Caenorhabditis elegans: one gene and its partners. The protein of the gene in region 1 interacts with the protein of each later gene in a biochemical or structural test. Each region holds a gene or a part of one and is shown on either strand. Other genes may lie near its edges.

Evidence for each region.
Region 2: of the proteins of mbk-2 (region 1) and meg-3, one has a biochemical effect on the other in vitro, tested with the Caenorhabditis elegans proteins (one study listed by BioGRID).
Region 3: of the proteins of mbk-2 (region 1) and oma-2, one has a biochemical effect on the other in vitro, tested with the Caenorhabditis elegans proteins (one study listed by BioGRID).
Region 4: of the proteins of mbk-2 (region 1) and egg-4, one has a biochemical effect on the other in vitro, tested with the Caenorhabditis elegans proteins (one study listed by BioGRID).

The regions. Positions count from the first base shown.
Region 1 is NC_003282.8:13,007,278-13,012,205, forward strand, and holds the start of mbk-2 (Dual specificity tyrosine-phosphorylation-regulated kinase mbk-2), read left to right. Parts: upstream 1-1,880; coding exon 1,881-1,952; intron 1,953-2,182; coding exon 2,183-2,238; intron 2,239-2,359; exon of another isoform or gene 2,360-2,380; intron 2,381-4,928. UniProt on the Caenorhabditis elegans protein: Required for oocyte-to-zygote transition in which it phosphorylates oocyte proteins, including mei-1, oma-1, oma-2, mex-5, and mex-6, modifying their activity and/or stability following meiosis.
Region 2 is NC_003284.9:1,985,928-1,991,151, forward strand, and holds meg-3 (uncharacterized protein), read right to left. Parts: upstream 3,681-5,224; 5' UTR 3,679-3,680; coding exon 3,621-3,678; intron 3,576-3,620; coding exon 2,054-3,575; intron 2,008-2,053; coding exon 1,897-2,007; intron 1,851-1,896; coding exon 1,704-1,850; intron 1,656-1,703; coding exon 1,521-1,655; intron 1,390-1,520; coding exon 1,100-1,389; intron 1,052-1,099; coding exon 726-1,051; 3' UTR 542-725; downstream 1-541. Other genes in the region: Y40A1A.2 (F-box domain-containing protein), read left to right, coding at 4,807-4,890, 4,943-5,019, 5,066-5,120.
Region 3 is NC_003283.11:8,027,584-8,031,768, reverse strand, and holds oma-2 (CCCH-type zinc finger protein oma-2), read right to left. Parts: upstream 2,331-4,185; 5' UTR 2,261-2,330; coding exon 2,223-2,260; intron 2,175-2,222; coding exon 2,019-2,174; intron 1,971-2,018; coding exon 1,749-1,970; intron 1,705-1,748; coding exon 1,557-1,704; intron 1,512-1,556; coding exon 1,295-1,511; intron 1,250-1,294; coding exon 849-1,249; 3' UTR 555-848; downstream 1-554. Other genes in the region: vars-1 (valine--tRNA ligase), read right to left, coding at 1-59, 106-182, 225-313; F43H9.4 (Glycine N-acyltransferase-like protein), read right to left, coding at 3,052-3,214, 3,263-3,324, 3,372-3,480, 3,596-3,807, 3,864-4,005. UniProt on the Caenorhabditis elegans protein: Zinc-finger RNA-binding protein that binds to 5'-UA[AU]-3' motifs in the 3'-UTR of maternal mRNAs to suppress translation in oocytes and embryos.
Region 4 is NC_003279.8:3,930,474-3,935,313, reverse strand, and holds egg-4 (Inactive protein-tyrosine phosphatase egg-4), read right to left. Parts: upstream 3,105-4,840; 5' UTR 3,103-3,104; coding exon 2,840-3,102; intron 2,792-2,839; coding exon 1,914-2,791; intron 1,866-1,913; coding exon 1,126-1,865; intron 1,056-1,125; coding exon 766-1,055; intron 690-765; coding exon 599-689; 3' UTR 501-598; downstream 1-500. Other genes in the region: T21E3.2 (uncharacterized protein), read right to left, coding at 3,770-4,208, 4,255-4,393, 4,439-4,484. UniProt on the Caenorhabditis elegans protein: Inactive phosphatase which acts redundantly with egg-5 in the oocyte-to-zygote transition. Required for the polarization of cortical actin cytoskeleton rearrangement in the oocyte before and after fertilization.

The DNA of each region.
Region 1 (4,928 bases):
CCTACATTCCTGCCTTGTTGTACGCTGGGGGTAGGTACGAGTCATTCGTTGGCAGGCAAATATGCCTACTTACCTCGGACCAACTCAATTTTGAAAATTGGAGAAAAAATTTTAAACACTTACGTGAAAGGTTAAACCGGTTTAGGCAGGGTAAAACCGGTTTAGGCTTTGTTAGGCTTGTGTTAAGGCTTGGGTTTAGGCTTGTGTTTAGGATTGGATTCAGGCTTGGGTTTAGTTTTTTTGTGCTTGCCTACCACATATTTAGTTAATTTTAGCAGAAGCTCTGGTTTTCATTTAGGCTTGCTTTTGCCAAGCAAATATGCCAATTTTCCTCGAGTCTACATACTATGCTAATTGGAAAATTTTTCAAAAAGTAACTTTGCGTGAAACCCAAAATAAACTTACACGGTCATCCACGTGGTATGAAATAAAAATAAATTGCCTTTGTTCAATTATTTTATTACTTTCAATTCTTCTCACTTTTTGCACATTTCGTTAACCGTCTCACAATCAGGAATCCAATGCCAGATAAGTTATTTGTACACAATTAAGCTTCAATAAGAGAGAATTCTCAGGTTTAATCTTAGGCTAGGGTTTAGGTTGCTATAGGATTTTAGATTTGCTATGGGCTTAAGCTTTTGTTTATGATTGGTGTTAGGCTAAGGTTCAAGATAGGGTTGGATTTAGGCTTGAGGCTTGGGGTTAGGCTTGGGTTTAAGTTTGGGTTTAGGCTTGGGTTTAAGCTTGGGTTTAGGCTTGGGTTTAGGCTTGGGTTTAGGCTTGGGTTTAGGCTTGGGTTTAGGTTCAGGTTTAGGCTCAGGTTTAGGCTCAGGTTTAGCCTCAGGTTTAGGCTTGGGCTTAACTTTGAGTTTAGACTTGGGTTTAAGTTTGAGTTTAGGCTTGGGTTTGGGCTTGGGTTTAGGCTTGGGTTTAGGCTTGAGCTTATCCATTCTTGGTCCCTATCCTCTATGCCTTCCCTAACTTCTATTTTTTAAATTTCAGCCTGTTTATTTCTAGACTCCCCTTTTTAATATTTCCTGCCGCTGATCATATGATATCCATATTTTTGCATTTTATATCAGACATCAAAAACTATTAGCATTAAGTTTTCATAAGGCATGCTTTGAAAACATTTGGAATGCGCAAAGATTATGGGAAGAAAGTTTTGGAAAAGTTCAGAAATTTCCCTTACAAGGGGAAGTTGAAAAAAAACCATTTTGGTCGGTGCCAGCTGATGCTCCTCTCGTGACTCTTGATAAGCCAATTGTTAGTCGTAAAAATGGGGAGAAGAACTTTAAAAGTGCGTAAATATCTAGTTATCTCGTTTTCTTATCACTGTTGTCATTGTGCATCTAACGTATTTCGGTTCACTAATAATAAGTTTCACGCTATTTTGTTTTTATATTATATTGTATTTTCAAAGCAAGTTCACTAAAAAGTTTTGCTCCATGCGTTCCAAGCATCCACTGCCTGCCTATCAATTTATCATCGTTCTCCACCCCGTTAGGTGTACCATTCAAAAAACGTTTGTTGCTCCGTACTCTATGTCTCCAATTCCCATATGCTCTTCCACAAACCCGCAACACAACACAAGTTTCTGCAAAAAAAAAATTTGGTGGATTCCTCCTAGAGAGTAAAAGAGAAACAGGGGGAGAAAAACGGACTCTTCCAACATCATTTGCCCCTTTTTCTTATCTGCTCCAACTTGTCCCCACGTTCGGTGAGGTGTTTCTCCCATTGATAACAAAATGTATTTGATCCGATTACCCTCTACTCGTCGTCAACTCTCTTATTACCCCCTACCACAAATTGTATTAAAAAGTACAAAAAATTTTTAGGAATTCTCTCCCAAACTTGCAGCAGTCTAGAGTAGTTGAAGCATGGCTGCTCTTGCCTCGTTCACACGTAACAGTCGAAGTTACGGGCAACAACCGATTGATGTTACACAACAGGTGGGTGTGCTATACCTCTATTAGTAGTGCATGTAATTATAGTTTCAAATTGAAATGGAGTTTGAAAATTTTTAAATTTCTCCTCTGAAAAAGTAAAGATATTGACTTTTTTCTGAACTTTTGTGTGATTTCTTAAATGTTCATTTTTGATATTACTAGTTATTATAGTTCTACTAGGATTATAAAATTCTAAACAAATTGCTCCTAAAATTCAAAAAAAATCATTTCAGGGTCAGCGAGATCGCAGTGTAATGAGTCTGGATGCACAAGGAAGATCAGTTTCACAGTGAGCTTTTGATTCTTTTTCTCTTCAAATTTTTTCTTCAATTTTCCCACTAAACGTATGTAGTTTAAAATATTGCAATTTCGAATTACTTTGAAGTTCTTAAGGAAATTTCTAGAAATATTCAAAAGTCGTGCCTGCAGCAGACGGTCATTTATTTTCCTTGAAAGCCCCCCCCCATTGACCACCATATGGATCCCATTAAACTTTACACCCTGTGGGGTCCTTGAGAAAACTTTTTGATGTTTTTTGTCCATTTATGCTTAACCTGATTAGTTGAAAAGCTGGTGTAAAGGGCCTAATTAGTTGGAAATTGGAACATGTTTTGAAAATCACAATGTATTATTGTAATAGAAATCTAAAGGCGGAACAAGGAAAAAAATCAATGAAAATTGAGATCGAGAACCCTTCTCATTCAATGAAGAGGTGTTTTCTTTTCAATAAAAAGGAGGAGTGGGGGGAGTATTTGTCATCAAGAGTACCCAAGAATGGTATACCAGCGATTTCACAATTAGATTCACAGTCAATCATTTCTTTTTTGATTCAGACCTGTTTGATTTTGCAATTTTAATCAGGATTCAATACATTTTTGTTAAAAATTTTGTTTTTCTCCCACTTTAATAGTTTCAAAACATTCATTTTCTGAAAACAGCTGTTTTAGAATACCTTGAAGCTTACATACTCTAAAACAAAACAGTTAGACCTAAGCTAACGTAGTTTATTGGCATTGGCGTTTGAGTAAGGCGGCCCCGTTGTCTAGTCACAATAGAAAGGGAGTAATGTAAATTGTTAAATTGTTGGTAGGTATATCCTTATGCCTGCCTGCCTGCCTACTGTTTGCTGATTTCCTTTATTTTAAGTTGAACTCTGGCCTTTAGTGTTCACCTCATGTAAGTTTACGCATATTTTATAGTAGACGTAGAGGTCGGTATTTTTTTGGTTAAAAAAAATTTTAAAAAAATCAAATCACTTCCTCAGCCACTTGCAATTTTAAGCGACTTTTCAGTAGAAACTTATGCTTCAATTGAACAATTTTTCAAATCCTATCTCTCGTCGATTTCTCACAATTTTGAATGTAACAACATTTTAAACGAGACACACAAAGTGTAAAAATGCTCAAAGAGTCAATCAGTGTTCCCTTGGCCTTTTTCTCCCTTTACCCTCTCTTCGAAGAAAAATGATAGGAAAATATCCGGGAAGGGAGAATTTAGTTGCACGTCATGATGTTCTCATCAGAAGTTTTTTCCTCCACTTTTTGAAAATGGAACTTTAATGACTCCTTTTGTGCTTGCCCCCTTAACCCTATCCAATTTCAAGACGTTTTCTGATTGTTCTTCGAAGTACGATTTCAATGTGTGTGAGAAGAGGAAAAATGAGATAGATTGTACTTGAAAGTAGACAATTTACAGAAAACGAACATTTTATGGTTTCTTGAAAACAGGTTGATTTTAGAGATTTTTAAGTGTCAAGAGATTTGTTCACTTGAACGAAATAATTATGGAACTTTTTGATCTTGTTAGATTTAGTTAAAAGAAAAATTCGCAAGCCTAAGAGCAAATGTGCAAAAATTTTATTTTGTTCGTTGTGATACAAATGTTGCAGAAAACTATTTTTCCTGAATTTCCATACATCAAGAAATTGACCAAGAAAGGGTTTTTCTACAAATTTTCAGTTTTAATTTTTTTAAACATTGTGAAGGTTCTGTTTGAAAAATTCAAAGTTTGCAAAAAATTTTGCCAATTCGCCAAACCTTGTGCTGAAGTTTTCAGAAAACTACGATATTTTTTTCCAAAAAAAAGCGTTCCTCACAAAAGTACCGTATCAAATGTTGGTCATCAAAAATCCGCACCGAATCTTTCCGATCTTTGTCTCTCTGTATCACTTGTGTTAGTCTTCAGTCCCGCTTTCCCCACCCTCCCCCAGATAAGGTTCTCGCGTTCCCCTATCTATCCCCACACACACACATTTTTATTTTAATTACAAGTACTAATTCGGTAGTGTTTTCTGTTTTCTTTACCTGTATGGTGGAGACTAGGAGGACCTTGCGGTCGGGAAAATGAGGCATCGTAATCAAACCAACCGAGGCAACACACACGCCGGGCCATGATGGAAACAACTCGTAAAAAACCCGTCTTTTCTATTCTTCATCGTTCTTCGCCTCTCTCACAGGGATTCCCTTTTTCATTAGTCGTTAGGAGAGGCTTTCCATACCTTTTATGATTGTATACAGTGATCTACAGATTCTTGAGATGTATGTACAATTTTTTTTTGTTTTTGATCTACCTGGTCAACTCGCAACGATCCTCCGCTAGCTGGCTTTGTGTGTTGTTTAGCACTTTCTGTAGTTTTAGAAATTACTTCCTATTGTGAATGACCAAATTTCCAGTTTTTCAGTAAAAATAAATACTTGTCCTATTTATTGCCAAAATGGTTGGAGCTGTAAAAACATACAGTTTTTGCAATTTTTTTTTTGGCTTTTCTCCGAGATGTCACAGTTTGCAATTTTTAAACTACGGTTTTATAATAGTTGTAAATCAAAAAGTTTACTGTAATTTTTTTTAATTCTCAGTTTTAATTATTAGTTTTTGACTTACTAACAAATTTCGGAGAAATTTTTTTTGATCCGAAACGATCTAACTTTTTCAAATTAAAATTTTTAATATTTGCAAAAATTAGTTCTACAAAACAACTAC
Region 2 (5,224 bases), on another chromosome or scaffold:
TCACCTAACAATATCAATCTTTTAGATTTTTTGTGTGAAGCATCTCTGAATCAAGAGCATTCTTTGAACTTTAAATTTTACTTGATAACTAATGAGTCCTCCGAGAAAAACATGAAAAACCCTGAAGCGTGCCTACTTGTCCGCCATCGTTGGTGCGTTTCCGAAACTTGTGAAGGCCTGTAGCAATGCGGACGGTGATATTTTCGAATTCAAAAATGGTATCTTATTTAGTTTTTCTCGGAGAACAAAACCTATATGATTATTTGTTTAATGTGTTTTTTGTTTTGGTTTTATGAAGCTTCAAAGTAGTGCGCATAATTATGGCCCACCCTGTATTAAAAAACGGAACTTTTCCAAACAAATCTGAAGCATCTGTTTTAAAATTGAATCCGTGACTACTATTTTGCCTAATGACAGTATTTAAATTTCACAAAAAAGATCTATGAGAAGATATGTATATTTTCAAATCAGTTACCAATCATCTTTTCTTAAATCTATTTCGAACTTTTCTTTTATTCTAGTTCCACTCCAAATCTTAAAGAATCGGCAATTCTTTATCAATCATCCAGACAACAATATAATACTACCCTCTACAAGTATCTGGGTAGACATAATACAAATTCACAAGGAGAAGCGAGTTGAAATATAACAAGAGTGGATAAAGGGTTAATGAACAAGAATAACATACAATATAGTCTACAAGTAATAGATATAAATTGGTACAATCATTGATCTCTGGGTGGGTCAAAAATAGATTCCAGCCAATCCCGTTTTACATTCAAGTATTTGATAGGATCCGATTTCCGAAGATGTGCAAGTAAACACGCATCAGCAATTGCGATGATATTCTTCTGTCCGATACACTCCTTCCACAACATGTAGAGCATATTGGTGGAGTCTGTGGAGCTGCTCGTATCGTCCAGCCGAGCCTGAACAAACGTGGCAGCAATCTCTTGCATAACTGCAAGCTGGTGAGGATTTCCTAAGCAGGCTTCAGCAAAACGGAGGAACCATTTTCTGAACATATTTCGCACAGGTGGAACTCTTGGATCTGAAAAAATTAAAGTTTTCAAGATTAAATATGTCTTATCTTTCTTACCATCGGCATAAGGACCATCCAATCTTGGAATTGTCTCGGTGCAAAAATAATTCAAGTACAGCCATCTTTCAGGTGACATCCCGTGAATATTCAAATTCACTTTCAGGAGTTGTGTCTTTTCTTTGTAGTTAGTATCAATGTAGTCGTTAAAGTCTTGCTGAGCTTCCAGGAATGCTGTCAAGCTTTCAGAAATGCGAGGTGGTGGCGAGGTTGAAGCTGGATCTTGAGTGCAATCTTGAGAAGGATATTCGATCCGATCGGCTGATTCACAAGGAAGTGGAGCCGGATCACTGAAAGAAATTTACTGTACTCAGAAAATAATTTTACAGGATTTGAATCAAGTTTTGAGCTCAATCTTTTCAGCTTGTACATTATTTTCCATATGCTTGATCGATAGCGGATTTATTAACTTGGACCTTACCTGGTGATTTCGAAGGGCCATTTCCCAGCTTGATTGTATACTTCAGCTGCACGAATTTCACAATTGATTCCACTTCTCTTCGGAGTTGGGCAACCATTACAATCCGTGGAAACTGGAATTCCGGTAATGTAAGAGCTGGAAAAGAAAATATGGAAATGTTGTTCGTTTTTTGTAAAGTCATACCTTTCCAGCGCCACAACCTTTGGAGTCAACTTTTGAGCAATTCGCTTTCCTGAAGCTGTTTCTTTTCCAGAAACTGTGACGGAATACATTGGTGATTTTGTAGCTTTAGAATCAACCACGCCAAGTGACTTGTTCAACTTTGAAGACCTGTAAAAAATATAATGAAATAAGAAGCTCCAAGTGTAAAACTAACTTGCTGGATGATGTCAGACATCTTTCTCCGATCAAAGCCTTTGGAGTTGGGATGATTGACGAGGAAGGTGTTCTCTTTACATCCACATTGTTCCGATTGATCTGATCCTTGCTGAAATTTAAATTTTTACTAAAGATTTTACTATTTCACTACATACCTTGAGGAAGCACGATTTGCAGATTTCGGCATCTCAGGGTCCCCATGAAGTAAACGTCTCATTTCCTCAACGTTGGCATCAAAAGTTCCTGTCCACTTTCTTCTTGAGATCTTTGGAGGAGAACTCGGCTGTGGACTTGGCGTGGGTTCCTCGTCTTCTTCAACAGTTTCCAGTGTCACATCAAGACTGGCCAGACGGGAGGCACTACGAGAACTTCCACGGCGCTTGATCGACAGTGAAGTTTTCTTGGGAAGACTCACTGGTAGGGTTTGGTTGTTAGCATCCACAAAACTGGAGTCAAAGTCTTCACCAATTGAGCAATTTAGATCACTTGCTGGTAATGTCCGATTCAAATTGCTGCATTCTCCATGAGAGCTGGAAGGCAAGTGAATCTGTTGTCCGATCTTCATGCTGACAATTTCCAATAACTGTTCAATGGAGAGTTCAGTGCCGTCCTTGCTGAATACATTGGATACCAGGTTACGTTTAGCCGCTTCTTCAGAAGATTTGCATTTTTCAGTCAATTGTTTACTGCCTGCATTCTGCTTTGAATAAGTCGATTGTTGAAGTTTCTTAGTGACTGATCGAGATCTCCGACCACGGGCAGCATCCATGGAATCGTCTATGAACACATCGTCAGTTAATTCATCGTCATTTGTGTTGAAGTAAGTACGATCCTGGAAGTTGCTGCTACCACGTGATTTTTTTCTGTCGTTTCTTGATTTCTGTTGTTGATTTTTCATCGATGAGGTTTCATGTGTAGGAAATCCAGAGAAGCTCTGGTTCAAATTCCGCGACTTAATAGCATCGTGCTTTTGGACAAGACTAGAATTGATAACCTCCTTTCCAGATGCATTTTTATTGTCCTTATGGCCTTTTTTAAAAGCGTGTCCATGAACTCCAGCTTGAGCGTTGAAGCTTTTATTTCCAAGACATTGCTGGTGAACATTGGTTTGTCGCAGTTTCTTAGAATTATTTTCTTGCTTCTGGAACCCAACGGGAACGGAACTCACACTGAATGACTTATTCCCAGCGTGACCATAATTGTTCGAACCATCCGAGAAGCTTAGGCCATGTTGTCCATTCTGACGACTTCTACTACGTCTTGTGTTTGATTGCTGAACGTCGTCCTGATCTGTGGATACTGGGAATCTTCGTTCATACCAGCTGGAGCTATTGCGTGTTTGCAAGTTGCGGCGGAAGTCTGCAGAGAAGACGGGGGCCGTAGGAGGAATACTGTTAAAGGCGTTGCTGCCGTTTCCTTGAGCTGCATGCATCGACTGATTGAATACTCGACCATGTCGAGTCATCGAGTGATTCAGCTGTTGGCCATTCATGAATGTATTCCCGTTGAATGATACGGATCCGTGATGAGATATCCCCGATTTTGCACCATATTCACGGCTTGTTGACTGAGCACTGTCTTGTTTTGCGATCGGATTGAACAATTCGTCAAGAGTGATTTGGTGTTCCATGTTGTTGGATGCACTTTCCTGATTGCTACGACTACTTGAGCGGCGACCTGAATTTACAAATTGAATGAAAAATTGATGCAAAAAACTCTCACCTCCTCTTTTTCTTCTCGAGTTTGGCAGACCGCTTGGGTAAGGTTTTGAGGAACTCATACCTGCAAAAATCAAAACTTAATGAAATATTGAAATAAATGAAATTTAAAAAAATACAACGAAAAAGAAAGACAGAGATGAAAAAATGCAAACCGGTGGGACCACGCAACAAGAATGAACACTTGAGTTAGGGAGATTGAGAGAGTGTGAGAGGTAGAGAAAGAGCGCGCGGAAATAGTGTGTGGCGAGACGGACAGGGGCGATGCGTGCGCGCGGTGAAAAAATAGTTCAAATGCGGCAGGGAATCAACAAAACAACACACACCGTTTGCATGGTATCGATCAGTTTTCAAGACTATCCAAGACTATGGAGTTTTGAGGAACAATTGGATTGATAGTTAATTCTCTAAAATATTGGATAATCACTGAATAATAAATGAGAAGAATAAATTTATAAAAAGAAACAGGATAATAGGCAGTAAAGGAGATGTTAATTAGAAAACCTGTAAGCGAAAAATCAAAACTAAAATAATTTTTTATCTCAAACTTTTTAAAAGAAACGGCGGAACATAATCCTGAATTCCTGAAAACGAGATGTAAAGGGTCGTTAAAATAGCTCCAAAAACGGATTTGTGCAGAGTTTTGAAATTTTTTAAAATTATTTTAATATAGGAATACTAAGTACCTGGAAAGTAATAAAAACTGCTTTATATAGAACATTGAAATCTTTTGTTTTTTAACATAAATTTTAAAAAATGTTTGGATATCCCAAACTAATAAGGATTCTTAACATTATTAATTCATAAAAATATGAAAAAATGTCTATTCAAAGGATTTTTTTTGATCGAAGACTTCTAAAAAGTTACAAAAACTGAGAATCTTCAAGTAGAAATTTGGTATTCCTTGGGACTTCAGATTATTCATATTTTATTTTTCAAATTATTCTCGATGGTTTTTTAATTTAAAAAACAACTCATCGACATTGATGCTTTCAAACAGGATAGATCTAATGTTACTAATTTCCTGCTACTATAGCTACTGCTACATTGTGCACAATGTATGATGTCACACACTTGGAGGATTTATAACCACTTTCTATGTATCGATTATACCATTTAGACGCTCGCCTGCTCCGTTAGTCTGCTCAGTGTTTTTTTTTTTCGATTACATATTTGAGTTACCATTTGGTATGAGCTCCTTTATTTCACAACTCTCCTCATTTATTTGTCTGAGATTTTTTAAACGTCGAGGTATCAGGACCCCGTCAAACAAGGCAAGAACATATGTATTTTACAGTTTTTCGTTTAATTTTATTGATTTTTTAGATTCAACCCTTTCACCTACTTGGTTTACCGTATCCTGCATTTCGGAATATTATACATCAATTGAAGTTGACTGAAGTGTGAGTTGAAGTAGGTTTTAATTATCTAAATGTCTATTGTTTTCAGAATAGAACTATCAAAAAATTCTGGTGAAACCAGATGTAGATTTAAAAAAAATTAATCGAAAAATCTACAAACTTCTTATCGACAACCGTGTTTTCCATGTTGATCTACCACCATTCCGAAATCCTAGTGATTTATTTTCAAGCAAAGTGATTGCTATAG
Region 3 (4,185 bases), on another chromosome or scaffold:
TCCCAAATGCAGTTTACCAGTTACGTTTGGCGGGGGTAAAACCATACGAAATAGACTGCCTGAAAAATATTTTTTTGCCTAGAACTATTATCAAGGAAATCTGACCATTCTTTCGATAATTTGCAGCGGCAAACTCTGTTCTTTGTTCAAAATTTTGTGTTACCTCGTCGATGTTAAAGGAGCTGAAAAAATTAGTTATTTTATTTTCTTAGTTTATCGTTTACCTACTACTTTCACGTGTAATAATTGTCGGTGAGTAAGCACATTGCCTTCTTGAACGATGAAAAAGTGCTAATCGATTCAATTTACCCATTTATTTCACCTGAAACCACAAACAATAATTTAAAAGAAAGAATGCGCTCAATCTGTTGAAAAATTAACGCTCGTCTGGACGAAGCAAATGCGCCCTGTCGCGAAACTAATTGGAGGGAAGATTAAAAAATATTTTTTTGTCAAACGAAACATTTCAGAAATTATTTTGCAATTCTATAATTGAAAATCAGATATCTTCGTGAAAAAACGTTATTTCCAGATGGTCTTCAAAAACATTGATTGACATTCGATAAAGTTTATTGATTGTTAGTGTGGGGAGAGGATACGAGCAATTTATATTTGGAGGGAATTGAAAATACATGCAATGATATCCGATATAATAAAATGCAGCAAAATAATTCAAGTTTAGTTTCAGAGCCTGCGAGAGATGGGGGGAGCGAGCGTGCTTTCTATATGACAGGAACATTGAGCTTATTATATTTACAAATTGCGCGCGTTATTATAGTTAGTATGGGACATAAAAACGTATGGCAATTTGACAAAATGTATAAATAGATGGGGAAGGAGGTGGTTATTCACCACAATTCAAGGTGCTTGGCAATGTCCATGGCAAGTTGATCAAGTCCAGGAATTGGAAGAGTTGTCTCGTTTCCAATCATCGGATTGTTGATAGACTTCAGAAGAATAGACTGAGCAGACTCCGAGTTGGCTTGGCAGGCAGCATCTGCAGCAGCAGAAGCAGCTGTGAGTGGAGACGAATCACTATCTTGAGACGGAGTTGATCCAGAGGAAGAATATCCCGAAACTCCTCCCGGTGTTGATTGTTTTCCAAGCATAGAGTATTGCATGTTCCCGGCTGCTCCAATAAGCATAGACTCAAACGGACTGATTGGACGAGTTGCCATATTCAGACTATCCAATGCGAAGAAAGTTGATGGATCCAACGGCCAGCTTGATGGTGGGCGATTCCCGGCTTCTGTAAAATTATTTTGAATTAATCATCAATATTCAATTTTCATACCCTCAGTCTCAAGTGGCTTCTTCGATGGCAACTCGTATCGTGGTCCACGAATGCTAACTGGGGTTGGACCCAATGGCATATTTGCTGCTGGCTCATCTGGTGTGCATGGCCTTGCAAACATATCAAATTGTTGAGGGCCGGCTGTAGAACGACCTCCATTCATGATATGATGCTCCATTTGATCGCGAAGGTCGGCCAAAGCATGACGTTGCGAAACCTGTTGAAGATTTGATTAAAGTGGAAAATTAAAAAGTTATCTTACCTCGAACAATTTATCGGCTCGAATGTATGCATTTGGTCCATTGTCCGGATGAATGAAAAGACAGCGTTTTCCATATGGGCACAACCCAGTAGTAGTGTACTTATCGCAGAGCTTCGTCCGGTACTTATTGTTTTGACGTGCCTCGATCCTGTAAAATATGTTGTGTAATCTTAATTCAATGTTCAAACCAACAGAGATGGACGAAGCTCCTCTTCGCCGTGAGCAAAACGACAGTTCTCCGCGAAAGCACATGTCTTCGACTCCAACCAAGCCTGACATATGACAGTCTTGTACGATTCCGGTTTTTGCATTCGGTGACGGCGTCTTGGATCAGCATGATATTGCAGTGGGAGAATAGCTTCCTGTGGAAGATTTTGAAGAGCTCTCATTTGCATCGAATGAATATGCTCGTTTCTGAGAAGATAAAATTTAAGAAACAGTCCATTTATCCTATAGAATTACTCAGCAATCTCCTTGAGAAGCTGCTCCTTGACAGCCATCAGGTTAGCGGTCTCGGAAAGCAAATCGTCGATATGAGAAATCGGTTTTTGCTGTTCTTCCGGAACAGTCTCCATCATATCGGGATGCGATGGTTCAACACTCGACTCTGTACGAGCCCTTAAAAAAGAAAATTAAAATTGAGAAACTATGATAAAAGTGGCTCACTCATTATTCTGGATAACATTTTCCTTGAGCATATCCATTATTTCGTTAGTAGTGCAGGGGAAATGGGTGGTTAGTGATTAGGCGTGGGGTGCTCGGTTAATTGATTCCCTGAAATTTAAAGAAATTTTAAAAATGGTAAGATTCCGCGAGCAATGAATAACAACCGTCTAAAGAATGAAAGAAATAAGTTTTTAACGAGAAAAAACGAATGCGCCAAAACGGTATAAAATTATTGTTTTAAGCGACGTAATTCAGAAATAAGCTCTTTTAAAATTCAAATAAACGGGCCAAAATCCTTCTGAATGAAATAAATGAATGAACAGAACCAAATGTTGTTGAACAAAAGAAAACTGAAGAAAACCATCTCTGTCCCAAAATTTCGAAACAAAAAGTCAATGTTTGGCGGCAATGCGCGCTAAATAAGATCAAATAATTATTTTTTAATACTTAAGTTTAGAATTAAGTCTGAAATTTATGGTTGAATCAAAGTCAAAAAACTTGCAAGAAAATGTTGCCAATTTTCACCAATGACTACGGTCACACTCGTTTGAGATGTGCACTCCCCGCTGCTGCGCCTTTAAAGGTTACTGTAACTAATAATTTTTTTTTAGCAAGCATGGAAATTGTGTAATTGTCTGAAAAAGTAACTCATAAACAGCGAATAACTAGATTTTCTCGACTAAAAAATTTTCAACAACACTGTCTGACCAAAATCTAGCTGTAAAAGAACATTACTTTGCAAATATACTTGCTGGAAGGTATTCGAATTTTTATTCAATATTTACATGTATATTTGATTTATTGTAAGTTCATTGTATTCCTATTAAAATCACTTGTGCATTCCATAATTTGACGCCTGGGAATAAACATTTTGGTCGAAAACTAGCGGTGTTCCATTGGACTCAACAACATCCATCAACTTTGACTTTTTTGCTTTTTCCAAGAAGAAACTGTTTGTTGTGTCGATGAACTTGCATGGACGCATTCCATTTCTAAAATATTATCATTTTTCCACAGTCCTTTGTCAAAAAATCACTCACTCAATAGCCATTTTAGCAGCTCCAATCTCCAACTTCTCTCCAAGATTTTTACCACGATGCCCCTAAAAACAGATTTGAAAATATTCAATTTGAAAATAGTAAAACTCACATCAAAGACATGCAAATGAGCAAGTGCTCCGTGAGTTTCTGAAGAAATGAATCCAACAAGTTCGTCGCCTTTACGAACGCAGAGCGATGGGAACCGTCGAAGTTTTTCTCTGAAAAAAATTCCTATTTTTCCATGTAACTGTTGTTTTACGATTTCTCGATTTTGTGAGAAAATGATATAAATCTAGTACTGTTGGTTTTTAATTTCCTGATCCAAAAACTCACTCTACTAATTTTGCATTTGGTGTGATAGATGATCCTACAATCTTCATAACATCATTTGTTGATTCAGGTATATCAATTGAGTATCCATCAGGTAATGTTGTATCACCATAATTTCTATATTTGAAAATTTGACTTTCATTCATTGCAAAAAAGTGTGTTGATTTGTTTTGCACCTCTGCATTAATATTGTTTTTCTTCATGTACTTTTCAATCTAAAATCAAACGTTTCTTATCTATTAACCTTTGTTCTGTTTTCATTGTGTATTACCGCTTTAGTGTAACATTTCTCGGCTACAGTTGATGGAGCATTGGAGCCAGCAAACAATCCATTTGTTTTACAGAATTCATCAAAAACCGCCAGAAAGTCTTCTTCTCGAAACTTTCCATCGTGTGTCAGAATTTGACGGTCTCTGAAAAGGTGCGAAGGTCAATTTCGAATTGAAAAAAAGAGATAGCAAAAGGTGGGAAAAGGTCTTTAGTGATACTGAAAAATGTTTTTGAAAATGAAGAAAAACTGGTTTAGGAATGGATTGTCATGGAAATGTTTGATCTTATCAAATATTACGGTCGAATCGGAAAAACATGAGTGA
Region 4 (4,840 bases), on another chromosome or scaffold:
TTTCTTTTTAAGCTGGTATAACCAATTAAGTTTTGAATTCTTAAACCGTAGTTGACTGTTAAAACATGTTCTAACTGGGTCTGTAGGCACGCGACATGAGCTTCATAGACCCGACGAATCGGGGGGATTGCCGGCGGCGGGGGACCCCAATCGGGGGGATTGGCCACGCCCATATAGCCGTGCGGTAATTCAAATTTCGCAACTTCCGCACGGTTTCAAAAAACAAAAGTTGAGAGATGTTAGGGATTGAAAGACTTAGAAAAAAATTAACTGTGCGGAGGAAATTTGAATTTCCGCACGGTTCTATGGGCGTGGCAATCCCCCCGATCCGGATCCCCCGCCGCCAGCAATCCCCCCGATTCGCCGGGTCTCTTTCATATCCACTTCGACAGTCAAGAACCATATACCCAAAAGATCTTCCAATCTGTAAATTCAATTCCTAATTTAACAAAACAAAAAATCCATTTTTAATTTCGGTGTTGAATTCGTAAACATTAGTTGACAGTTAAAATGCATTTTATACAGTATCATGCAATATTTCACAGAATGTTCTAAATAAAAATAATAATAGTGAGTGGAGGTTTAGTATACATGATAATTAGAATTCGAAGACGCTCTTCGCTGGTGAAAGGATCCCGTCGACAGTCGCCACCTTGTTTGGCATCTCTCCAACGCAATCGGGTGCCTCACTGAAAAATAAAACATTTTTAGAAAGAGAATTAATTCAATTCGAATAATTTTTTAAATATGTAAAATAAAACATACCGTCTGTAGTTTGGTCGTTCCGGTCTTCCAACCATTCGAACAATGTCTGGATCTGCTCTTGGAGACAGCAAACGATAGCCAGGAATTGGAGCAGCAAGATCATCAAGGAACATGCGTTCGGATCGTTCTTGGAGCCATCTTTCATAATCGACATCCAACTCCTTTGCACTTCCAATGACGTCACGGAAGAAGAATGCAACAAGACGATGCACAAAGATGTACTGCATGGGAGTCTCGATGCTGAATGGACGGCGCTGACGAAGAAATTGGACAGCTCGTTGTACTGGGTACTGAAAATGTGTTTAATTGAATTGATTTCACCATTTCCAACTTAAAAAGTCACTAAATTCTGATACAAACCTTGTAAGTTGGCCCTCGGAGCAAACTGCAAATGGCAATCTCGGCAGCAACAAGACAAGCCGCTCTAGAAACTCCCAAATGATCATGGATAACGACTGGCTTCGACGCGTTGCGAAGTAAACGAAGAATATTTAATGGAGAGTACATATTCGATGAATTGTTCACGTCTCCTTGCCAATGTTCCACGTGACGTTCCTCGCGATCCGGTCCAATGAGACGAAGATGAGTGACACGGAACAATGGGTCTGGAGCTTGATAGACACCAAAGTTCTCGATTCGAAGTCCACCAGGAACAGTAACGGCGGGATCCGACGGAGATTTTGGCCAGTAATATTCACATCTTTCCGGTTCCTTTCTGCTGGTTAGCATCACAATGTATGGAACTTCCTCCTGCCAAACCATTCTCCAAAAATCATCAACGGTGTTCTTCATTGGAGCTTGAGTCATGATGAACTCATTGAACAGCGGCTTTCCAGAAATCCGATTTGCGTGAATGAAATCTCCGAGATACTGACCGCGTGGGAATTGGAGAGCGATTCGAGTGGAATCCTTGCAGTGAACACGTGGATTACGGCACTTTTCCTGGTTGTTGTCTGAAGCTGAGTGAGTGAATGGGATGTGGTTGACCGAGTTCTCGAGGATTTCAAAGCGTCGCTCCATTCCTCCGATGATGGTTGACAGATACTTCGCTTTTCTCGCTGCTCCAAACATCCGCTTTCCGATTCGAATGTTGTTGTAGACTGAAAAAAAGTTAATTAATTAAGGAAAATAATAATTTATTTTCTTACACTGTCCAGCAACACGAACTCGGTCTCTGTCAGCAAGAACATTTGCCTTGAAAGCTTGAACTCGCTTTTGCATCGTAGAAGCGTCGAGTTCACGAAGTAGGTATTCAGCCATTGTCTCATTCTTGACGGCTTCTGGATGAATATCCGAAATCCATGTGCTGGTTTGATCATGTGAAAGAAGGCGCATCAGAAGCACCTGATCTCTTGCGGATTTCAGATCGATGCGATGATTTGTGAAGAAAGTTGAGTTGATTCCGAACTTCTCACAGATGCTTTTCAACGGCATCACCCATCCTTGACCGTTCACTGGACGCTTTGGCTTCTTTCCATTCTCATCCCGACGCATGTAGATGTCTGTGTATCGACCCTTCCATTTCGTGTCGAACTTTGAAGAGAAAAGCAGCTCTTGAGTGATCTCGGTGTCATCATAACTTGAACGAATCAAATTAGCCATTGCTTCCTTTGTCACCTTCTTATTGCATGGAGTAATCGATCCAACACGGGATTCTGCAGAAGCTGCAATTTTGTAGGCTGCATGAAGAGAGAAAGCTCCTGGCGATTGATGATTTTCTAGGACAGCATTCTTCATCTCCAATGCTTTCCGAGTCTTCATGACCAACGCCGGCTCCACTTGCATCGCAGTTCGGGCGGCAAACACTTTCATCCGAACATTGTTGAAGTGTCCCTTTGCCATCTCAATGTCGGCTCCATGCCCGGAATCCTCGCGTCTTCCTTCGTCCTTTGGTTTCTCGGAGACAAGACAGTCGAGAGCTTTGGATTTCCGCAATTTCGATGGAGCTGCATAAGTAGACGGAGCACCACGTGGGACTTCAATCGCATCCTCTTCCGAGTTTCCGTTCAGACGCTCCTTGGATCTTCTGCAACATAGAATATTAATTTTCTAATACTTAAGAATCTCAAAATACCTGTCCTTCTGAGCGAGCTTCTTCACTTTCTTCCGGAAACTCTTGCTGAGCGTGCTTTCGCTGTTGAATCTGGCTCTCATGCAGCTCACTCCCTTTTGTTGAGGATAATCCACCATCATATCCATGTTATCGGTGCTATCCGCCGAGGAGTCGTCGGTGTTTCCGGAGCAGAAGCTTTGAAGCGACGTCGCACGCTTCCGGCCAGCTTGTGAGCGCATCGCGTTGATTTGCTCGCGGAACATCACTTCGCTGTTCAACGCCATACCTGGAAAATTAATGAGCTTAAGCTAATAATTATTTAAGAGCAGAAGAGACAGAAAAAAAGATTTTAGGAGGAAACGAAATGGAAATTAGTCGAGTATGCGGGCGATTCCATAAAATAACTGCGAAAAACACTATTAAAGCACCTAAACGAACAAAAACCGATTTTCTAGGAGAAAAAAGAAAGAAAAATTTCGGATGCGCATACCAGAAAACAATTTCGCTGAGCGGAAAAATACAAAATTTCGCGCTCTTCCAAAATCGTAGAGCAAATCTGTGAAGATCAAAGGTACGGTAAAAGATAATGTGTGCACTTGCGTACTTTTTTCGCGTACCGTATCTCGCACTATTTACAACGGAAAACGCAAATTTAATTACATAAAATTAAATATATTATTTAAAAATTGTTTATAAACATTAAATATACGGAAAATCCGATTATGCTCATGGTGAGGATCGAAGCGGTGACTTTCAAAAAATGAGAACAACAAAGGTACGGTAACAAATAATGTGTGCACTTTTGCGTCAATTGACATGCAATGTACGCGAAACTTTTCGAATTGATTTTTCTTTCGAAATTTTTTGTTTTCTTTGAATCTTATGCGTTTTTTTGTGTTATTTAATTGCATATTTTCACTTTTTTCATAATAAAATTTATTCAATCAAGTTTCATGGTCCTCCTTTCCAAGATAACGGAGTTGGTTCGACTTCCATCTGTTCTTCAGGCTTCACGGGGCCACGAATCATTTTCTTCGAAAAATGAAGAGTTCGATCAGATCTTTCCATATTATTTCTTGAAACTTCCTCATCACACTTCACATCTTCTTCCTTTCCAGCCTTCTCCATTGACGTTTTCTTGATGGTTTGTGGCGGAGTGATTTCTTTCTTGTTCGGTTTTTCCGCTGATTTTGCTTTTTCCTTTTTGCCGCCAACATCTTTATTTTTCTTGAAATCTGGTTTCATTTCAACTGCTACAGATTCTTTTGAAATTTGAAATTTCGAAGTTTTCTTTCGATTAACATTGAAGTCCTCTGCGCTGTTGGGGTTCTTCTCGACTTCTTTTTGCATTGAAATCGTTTTTGACACAGTTGAATAGTTCGTGCTGACTCTGAATGGCTTATTTCGTGTTTATAAAACATTTTCGAGGATCTTACGGAGTGGAAGTTTTGCTGACATCGGTTTTGTCAGCCAAATCTGCCGAAGTGATGGTTTTTGTAGTGATTGAAGAGGTTTTCGGCTTTTTCTCCTCCACTTTTGAAGCTTGGCTCGTTTTAGAGCACGAAATAAACATAACTGAAATACGGTTATGCGCTTTTGAATCTAAAATTGCCGGAATACCTGTCCATACTACGAAAAGAATTAATTCAGCAAAAATGCATGCCATTTTTATAATTAATTACTAGAAATAATTGAACCTTCGATTTGCACTGGCCTTTTTTTTAATTCGGTTTATAAGTTACACAACACGTTTGAATTTCCGCAATTTTGGATTTTATTTTTAGTTTTCAAATTTTATTCCTTTTCCATTTCTCATTTTGTATTCACTGAACAATTTCTTTCTTTCCGACCTGGTAATTTCTAAAATGTTTTCTACTTGTTGTCAATAGAGCGTCGTTGCATTCCTCACTCATACTCTCTCACTCTCTCGAACGCTTTTTTTTTTTTTCATTGCAAATGTTTCATTCGAACATTGATTTTCGGTTGTTTCCTTTCTTTTTTTTCGATTTTTATAGGTTTTTA